Neurospora crassa OR74A: one gene and its partner. The protein of the gene in region 1 purifies or fractionates together with the protein of each later gene. This does not show direct contact. Links are inferred from orthologs where the notes say so. Each region holds a gene or a part of one and is shown on either strand. Other genes may lie near its edges.

Evidence for each region.
Region 2: the proteins of NCU09118 (region 1) and NCU03092 purify together in Saccharomyces cerevisiae (affinity purification with western blotting; 3 studies listed by BioGRID). This does not show direct contact. The link is inferred for Neurospora crassa OR74A from reciprocal best matches to the Saccharomyces cerevisiae genes TOP1 and NSR1.

What each region holds. Positions count from the first base shown.
Region 1 is NC_026501.1:5,391,531-5,396,004, forward strand, and holds the start of NCU09118 (DNA topoisomerase I), read right to left. Parts: upstream 2,859-4,474; 5' UTR 2,126-2,858; coding exon 2,074-2,125; intron 1,882-2,073; coding exon 1,658-1,881; intron 1,598-1,657; coding exon 1-1,597.
Region 2 is NC_026501.1:4,518,154-4,522,607, forward strand, and holds NCU03092 (nuclear localization sequence binding protein), read right to left. Parts: upstream 2,809-4,454; 5' UTR 2,573-2,808; coding exon 2,213-2,572; intron 2,153-2,212; coding exon 1,557-2,152; intron 1,495-1,556; coding exon 1,164-1,494; 3' UTR 318-1,163; downstream 1-317. Other genes in the region: nuo12.3 (NADH:ubiquinone oxidoreductase 12.3kD subunit), read left to right, coding at 3,233-3,458, 3,583-3,671; NCU03094 (hypothetical protein), read left to right, coding at 4,387-4,454. UniProt on the Saccharomyces cerevisiae protein: Involved in pre-rRNA processing. Specifically binds nuclear localization sequences. Candidate for a receptor at the nucleus that may be involved in both RNA and protein transport. Binds telomeric sequences of the type (TG[1-3])n in vitro.

The DNA of each region.
Region 1 (4,474 bases):
TGAAGACCTGGCGATCGACCGTGAACTCGTTGTAGAAACGAATACTGTCCTTGCCCAAGAAGTCGAAAATGACAGTGTTGGGTTCCCTGAGGGTGACGTGCTCGTACTTGAGAGAGCAGCAACCGACAGTCTCGGCCTCGTTCTCGGTATCCTTTTCGTTACCGGCTCTGAGAGCGAACTTGTCAATGAGGTACATGGCCGTTGCGCGTTGCCTGTCAGCCATGACCTCGCTCTTGAGGTCCTTGGTATAATCGGCACGGATGCGATCAATGTATTTCTTGAGCTCACGGGCCTTTTCGAACTTCTTGAAATCGGCCTTGCCCTTCACAGTACTGTTTGCTGCCAACATCACATACTTGTAGTGTCCGTTGATGTTCTCTTGCCACATCGCGAGCCAAGTTGCCTTGTTGTCATGTTGAACGGCCTTCCACTTGTGGCCAGCTGGCGGCTCTGGGACCTTGGCCTCTTTGCCGATGTTGATGGTAATTTGCTCTGGCAAAACACGCTTCTTGATACACCCGGTCTTGGGGTGATCACCGCGACCACGGAAAAGTCCTGGAATTTCCACTCTGGGGTTACCAACCTTTTCTTTTCGCCCATCCCACTTGCAATATAGATAGGGGGCGTCCCTCTTGTCCCTTTCGGCTTTCTCGGCCTTCTTCTCTGCTGACGACCGGGCATTCTTAGCCTTCGTTTGAGCATCTTTGTAAGCCCACAACTGGGAGAAGTCGAGTTTTTCGAATTCCTTGATGTCAACCTTTTTGCCATTCTTGTCCTTGGCGCCACCTGTCCGATCTAGGATCTCCTTGAAGTCCCTGAAGAAGTTCTTCTGGAAAGTTGGGTTCTCAACATTCACCGTCGAGTTAAGCATGAAGCCGAAAAAGGTCGCAGCTTCCTCGGCCTCGATATCGAGTTCGACCGGCGTTCCATCGTAGAGCAGTTTGACGTCCTTGGGCAAACGCTGGTAATCCTCGGGGAAGATGACGCCGTTGTGCTCCAAGGTGGTCCACTTGATACTGTCATCTTCCTTCTTTGCCGACTCCTCCCACCACTTATACTCCTCTTCCTCATCGTCCTCATCGGTGATGTCCTTCGATTCCTCCTTGACGGACTTCTTGACAGCGGCAACCTTGCCCTTCGGGGCGGCCTTCGTGGCAGCCTTTGCAGCCGGCTTTGCAGCAGGCTTTGCAGCAGGCTTCGCGGCAGGTGCCTTCTTCGCCCGCTTAGCGATGGGCACATCCGAGTCAGACTCTTCCTTCTTCACACCATTCGTCTTCTTCGCAGCTGTGCCGTTGACCTGTCGCTTGGTGGGTTTCGCAAGGGGTTCGTCATCGGAGGATTCATCCTTGACGGCCTTCTTAGCAGCAGGCTTCTTGGCCTTGGTACCAGCACGAATACTCTTGGCTTCCTTGGCGGCTTCCTTCTCGATATTGGCCTTCTTCGCGGCGATCTTTCCGAGAGGTTCGTCGTCATCAGAATCTACGTCCATATCCGTATTCTTGGCGGAGGGAGGCAATCTCGCGCCATTTTTTTTCGCAATCGGCTCGTCGTCGCTATCGGAGTCTGGTTGCTTATGTTGTGTTTTTGAACGTTTCGCCTGTCCTGGTCAGCCACAGACCAAGCAAGGATACCAAGCTGCAAAGACTGGGAAACTTACCAAGGGTGCTTCGTCATCACTGGAGTCATCCTTATAGTTGATGGACTGATCAATGGATGTCCGCGATTTGCGCTTAGCCTGACCGCTTACTGAGGAGTCGACGTCCATCCTGTCCTGGTCGACGGGGCCATTACGGATGGAGACACCAACGGGAGCCATGTGAACCTTGGAATCAGCAGCGTCCATGGCACGATCATCGGCCTTGGAGATGGTCGGCGCCGAGGCTATAGTTGAAGAGAAAAGATTAGTCTCATGGGCGTGGTACAATGACAGATTGCATTTAGACGAGGCCATGGAAGGCATGACACGTTGACTCAGATCGGCTGGCAAACAGTGTGACGGGGCAGAGGATAGAGTGAAATAAGCGAGGGCTGATGGATGAAAGTGTGTGACTGATCACAGAAGCATTGACGTACCGTGGCCGTTGACCTTGGCGAGCGGCTTGTCGTCTTCAGAGCCCGAAGACATGGTTGCTAAAGCGTGTTGCGGTGTCGGCACTAGTAGGTACGTACGAATGTGTAAGGGCGCAAAATCCGACCCGTAGAGGTAGCGGCCGCTAAACAGTGGCGAAGGGTTGCTAGCAAGATGTCTGCAGGGCAACCGAGTCGAAAATGTTGTCGTCGGTCGTCGCTAGGAAGGGAGACGTGGAGAGAAAGAAATTCGCCGCTGGAGGTGACCGCTTACACCTTTGACCGTGGACAGAGTCTTGGTGCAAGTCACTTGGTGACCAAGGCTGGAAAGCGAGGGTCTCGGGAACTCGTCAAGGTCTTGGGTGCGCGAAAAATCGAGATGGCCGGTCGAGGGAACGAGTGTGTGAAAAAAAAAAGAGAGAGGATGTGGAGAGCCTGGAGGGTGGAGAGAACCAGAATGGCGCAAGGTGAGGGAGAAGAAGTGAAGGGAAAAAAGCGAAGGCGGAGGGCAGCATGAACGAATTCGGGAAGAGCAAGGGCAGTCGGGAGGCTGTTAAAGATAAATCCTGGGGCTCCACCCTGCAACTCTTTCTGGGCGGTCGTTGCCAGGACCGCCAGGCTGTGGAAGTATCGATGGGTGCTGTGGGTGGGTGGGTGTGTGGGTGTGTGGTGAGTGAGAACTGAGTCTCCAGTCGGGACTCCAGCCAACGGAAGGGAAGGTTTCGATGCGTCGTCGCGGTCGCAGGGGGATGTTCGCCAGGTCCAGTCTGTACCGCAATTCTCCCTGGTTCGCCTGGGTCGGTGCACCTCACCTGCCCCAAAATCCCTGAGGTGGTCGACTTTGAGAGGCCGGTACCTTTTTAGCGCGTCCCCGCTCTCGGTACCTTGAGTCTGAGCGTTCAGTTTCTAGCGTAGCGTACGCCCGTCAGTGTCGTGAGTGCGGTACGTAGAATCTATGGAATGGAAGTTCTCTGTTGCGTGTGGCAAAGACGGGCGCTCCAACAACAGTACGCTAGGCACCACTGGGATCGTGAGCACCCAGCCTCACAATGATTGCTCCAGAAAGCTGAAGGCATACTGACACACCTTGTTCATTCAAACAGAAAAACACCGCGTCGTCTGATCTTCACCCTAGTGAAGCTTCCGTGTGCTTGCTTAATCTGTGGGTGACTTAGGTTCAAGTTATTTACCGTCAAGGACACTGAGACGTGGACGCTTTTGATACAACCGTTTGCAAGGCACTTCCTCGTTCAAGTGAGCACCAAATTCACAACCGGATCGATGCTAAGTAGTTATCTCAGCGCTCAGACCCACCTTGAGCTCCCGGGCGTGCACGGACCTGTAACGAATACCACAATCTCAGCATTTTATTGATAAATTGAATTTTCTTTCCAAACCGGGCAATATTTTGGCCCTCCGCTCAAGGAGGTCTGAGTACACAACTCGATTAGAATCGCGTAGAGGTTGACCAACCCCCCAGAATATCAACCTCAACACTATAACTTCACAACAACACGTCGCATCACGAGGGTTTCTAGTTAATTCGGATCGCAAAAATCACAGCTTTCCAACGGTATCAATTTCATTATCATTACCATAGAGGAAGACTCCCAACACAAGGATGCGCAATCCATTCGCAATCTTCCAGCCCACATACAACATCGTCGTAATCGCTCTTAAGTATAACCATATTACTAACGTACTTCTTTAGCAACTAAACTATTAGGAATTAAAGAATTATTTGCTCTCTCTTCTACTCCATCTAATATTTAAGTCCCGGATTATATATAAGTAGAGCAAGACGTCGATAATAGAGTAAACTACAATAATACACTTATAGAGGATAATAATTATAATATTATTAAAGAGATATTCGACCTTTAGGCTCGCCTCCAATTAAGGTATAGTAAATGCGTAATAAAAGTAGCGATAAAAGGATAAGTTATTAAACTAAAGTCGTTTAATATTAAGGTATTTATAGTAGAGTAGTTTAAAGTTAGGCGTAGAAGTATAGATTTTATTAGTTTTTTCGACGAAAATAACAATATAAAGGAAGCTTTTAATAATAGTAGTCTTATTATTTAGTATACCGTTAATATACCCGATGGTCTAAATTACCCTACTTTTATACTATATAAAGAGATATAGGCCCTATTTACTGAGTTATTCTTCGGATAGTTTGAGGTTGAAAATATTTATTAAAGTAATGAATTAACTACTATTTTTCAATTAAGTAATTTATTTTAGTTAGAGAATACTCTGAAAGAGACTTAGCTAACCCTTAGAGCTATTGCTCCTAATATAGTTACTATAATTTTATAGTTTATAGTTAATTAGTTTAGAATAATAGATATTATTAAAATAACTAATATCGACGAGGAATATTATAACCGTATTATTCTTATTA
Region 2 (4,454 bases), about 870 kb from region 1:
TGGTCGCAGGTCTAGGTTCTTTTTTTGTTGGTGTTGCGTGACTTTGGCTTTAGTTTGGGCTTGTTTGTGTATCGACTGTTGAGATGACTTGTAGACGAACCGAGTTCATCGAATTCAACTTTTTGGGGATTTGCTTCGTGACACTTTGGGAGCTATCGCGGTCAACTGTGACCATGTTGAAACACGTGACGAATGATCAAGACTTTTGTGAACGAGCAGTTTTTTGAAGATCCTATCGACATACATACACACAAGTCTACGCCTCAAAATACCACATCACATACATAACGGCAAGTCACATCATTGGAACAACACAGTTACTGAACAATACTTCTTTCTTGCTACTTCTAGTCCGTTGGGACTTGGGTATATGAAACAGGGGAAGAGTATCAGATTACTTACCGGGTAATGTTCGTTAAGAAGGATCACCCGTGTTCTGTACCGTTACGCCATCGATGATGTATCGTGAAGGGCAAATGCTGATATGAAAAAAAAAGAAAAAGAAAAGACCCGAAACCCATTTTAAGTGCCCCCAGGTGACCCCGTGATTGTACCGGAAAATCCCAAACCAACTTTTAGATGCCCTCTTTAGTAACCCCACAGGAAGAAGCAATGACAATAGTATGCGGAAAAGAACAGGAAACGATGAACCACCCTCGAAGCACAGACTGGATAAGGCTGTGTGAACACATGTTTGTGGCATGTGCAAGTACAGGTCCTCGCTTTTCCGTTCTTCCGTTTTGTCAGCTAAAGCCCACAAGAGCCCACGAGCCCACAGAGTACTTGGAACCCATCATTCTTCTGGTATGCATCGAATCCAAAGTGCAGACGACCGCGCAAGGGTCATGGAACCAGCCAACAAGCCCACCGGCAGAGGTCCTAACTTTCCTGTTGAGAAAGAACAGACGTGCCATGTACGAACGAGCTGTCAAAGAGCTACCAGCTCACCACCATCTTCAAGCCCTCAGGTATCGCTTGCTTTCCCTGCCACGCAGCAGGGAAGCAGTTATCTCTCAAAAAGCCCACGATCTCCCACGAAGGAGACACTGTAAGATTTCAAAAGCCGACAACCCACTAAGCCCTCCAGTGCGAATCTGTGTTTCAATGCCCTCAGGTTATGGTATCACATTCCCCAATGTGTGCGGGAATCCCACTTGACCACTTTAGAAGGTGGTCTTCTTGCCCTGGAAGCCACCACGGCTGCCACCGAAACCACCCCGTCCGCCACCGCGGCCACCGCCACGGCCACCGAAGTCACCACGGCCACCACGGCCACCACCACGGCCACCGAAACCACCACGGCCACCGCCACGGCCACCACCGCGGCCGCCGCCGAAGCCACCACCGCCACCGTTGTTGTCACGGGGCTTGGCGTAGTCGAGACGGACGGGACGGCCATTGAGGTCGGAGCCGTTCAGTTGCTCGAAAGCGTTCTTGGCATCCTCAACGGAGTTGAAGGTAACATAGGCGAAGCCCTTGGGGCGGCCGGACTCCCTAGAAGACTGTTAAAACTCTGCTCGGCAAAGATGCACACAAAGGTATAGTGGGATACTCACTGGTCAGTAGGGATACGGAGGCTGGCAACGGAAGCGACGGAGTTGAAGAAGTCGGAGACGACAGACTCGTCGGCGGAGAAGGGCATGTTACCGACGAAGAGGGTGTCGGACTCGGGAGAGATGGTGTCACCGTGCTTGGCAGCGCGGTTGGCGGCCTTGTCTTGGGGCTTGTTGCCGGCATCCTTGGCAGCGAAGTCGAGACGCATCTCACGGCCCTCAAGAAGAGCACCGCTCTTGGCATCATAAGCCTTCTGCGCCTGCTCGTTGGTGGCAAAGTCGACGTAGCCGAAACCGCGCGAGCGGCCAGACTCACGGTCAGTGACGACGCGAGCGCTCTTAGCACCCTCGCAGTCCTCGAACTCAGCCAAGAGGATAGCATCATCGATACCCCAGCCGAGGTTACCAACCCAGAGGGTGCTCTTGTCGTCGGCAACCTCCTCAGTCTTGGCCTTCTTGGGAGCCTCCTCCTCCTCGGAGGACTCCTCAGCCTTGCGCTTCTTGGAAGGCTCCTCGGACTCAGACTTCTCCTCGGACTCGGAAGAGTCAGAGTCAGAGTCGGAATCGGAGTTGTCGGAGTCGCTCTCCTCATCATCGGACTATAAGCAGACGTGGGTTAGCAGATGTATACTATGAAGAGGAAGTTATGTTGTACTCACGCTCTCCTTCTTCTCCTCCTTGACGGCGGGCTTCTCCTCCTCGGAAGTCTCCTCAGACTCGGAGTCGTCAGAGTCAGAATCGGAGTCAGAGTCGGAAGACTCGGCCTTCTTGGTCTCCTTGGCGGCAGGAGCGTCGGTCATCTCCTCATCGGAAGACTCATCGCTGGACTCATCCTCGCTGGACTCCTCCTCAGAAGACTCAGACTCGGACTCCTCCTCCTCGGAAGAGGACTCCTCCTTCTTGGACTTCTTGGAGGGCTTCTCAGCCTTGGTGGCCTTGACGGGCTTAGCAGCCTTGACGGGCTCGGCCTTGGCGACCTTGGTGGCCTTGGTGGCCTTGACGGAATCCTTCTTGCCCATGATAGCGGTTGTTGTAAAGTGATGTGATGAAGTGATGGAATCCGCTAAAGGGTATTGAAGAAAAAAGAAGGATGAAGATGATGAATGGGATAAAGGATGCGTCTGAAGAAAAGAAATTTCGTCGGGAAGACTGCTGTTTAAATGGGGAGCAGAGGGTGGCGGGTACCGTAAAATCTCTGGCTGATCAACCTACGGCAGAAAAAAAAATCGTTATCACACTTTGATATGGGACTTTCTAGTGGGGCAGGGGACCTGGGGCAGTGGAGGATCCGGGTGGAGGTTATGTACACACGCGAAGGCGGTGGCCCGCGCACGAGCCGCGGTGGGGAAGTTCGTTCCACCTGAAAGTTCCTTCCCATGCCTGCCACGGCCCACGACCCCCCGTCAATTGCAACTTTACTGCATGGTCCGAAAGACGAACAGCATTTGGGCTAGCGCGTCCCTGCCTGCCTGGTTTCCCAGGTGTGCTGTAAAGCTCGAGCCACCATACGACCGGGGCACCACTTGGAGCTTAGAGATGCGCCGTGTTGGTTGCAACGGCATCATCGACGAGACGAAAGTGCGGGACGATAAGCTGCGTCTCTCTCCCTCTCTACAGCTTTGTTTGACGACAACTTGTGCTTTCGGTCTTCTCTCGCGAGTCGCCCACATCTAGCAGCAATGCCTACTCCCGAATCGGCGGCCTTCCTGGCCAAGAAGCCCACCGTCCCGCCCACCTTTGACGGCGTCGACTACAATGATACGAAGCGCCTGAAGCAGGCCCAGGATGCCATTATCCGCGAGCAATGGGTCCGAGTTATGATGGGTCGCCTGGTGCGGGAGGAGTTGTCCAAGTGCTATTATAGGGAGGGCGTGAACCATCTGGAGAAGTGCGGACATCTGAGAGGTGGGTACAGGAGTGCTTCCCATCTCCCGTGGTTCTTTGGCGGCAGAACCATTCAGCAATTGCATGCAATCAGCCATGCGATGGTGCTTTTTCCCCTTCTCTTGCTGACTTGTTTCTGACACAGAACGCTACCTCCAACTACTCTCCGAAAACCGTGTCCAGGGTTATCTTTTCGAGCAGCAGAACCATTTCGCGAACCAGCCAAAGCAATGAGTTCTCCTCCATCATTCTGGGAGCAGACCGGAGGGTACAAGCTGGAGCGAGCTGATTTGGGGCTGAAATGATCTGGGCAGCGAGAGTTTTGGCAGGGCAGTGCGCTCGAGAACCGGAGAGCGAGTCAGTCATGGTCGAACCGGGAAGGGGCTCCATAACATCGCGGACCACCCTTTCAGACGTTCGGCTTCAGCAACCCCCAGAGGAGTGCTCGGGCCCTTTAATGAGACTTACGAGCAGGCATGTAAATATTAACAGAACTCGGCAACAACAGACACACGGGGGACTAGAGGAATAACAGGACTCAATTCGGCCTCCCATTTTTTTTATTTTTTTCATTTATTCTTCTGCACGTATGTTGTCTGTACAGTTCGCAGATTTGGACTATAGAATACATAAAGTGCTTTAGTTGTCACTGCCCTAGTAACAGCTGCAACGGTTCCTGTCCAATATCAAAACTGCTCCAGTGGTGCTTTTCACCCGCCGTAGAAATTTTTAGCTCCCGTCCCACCCCTCCAATTCGTCGCGCGCATCCCGTGTCCGTCTCCCCAGGCCGAAAGCCACTTCCGGCCGGCGTGTCTTTTTACATTCGCACCTGTGAAGCTGATTTAAGCGAGTTGTCTATCCAATCGATCCGATCCTTGGTGTAATTCCCACTGGCCGACTGCCGACGATTACACACATACACCTCCGACCATCCCCCGGGATAATCGCCATGATCTGCCGAACGTGTTTGCGCCGGGCTTCCGGCTTCGCCAGACCTGCCGCCGCCGCGGCCACCAG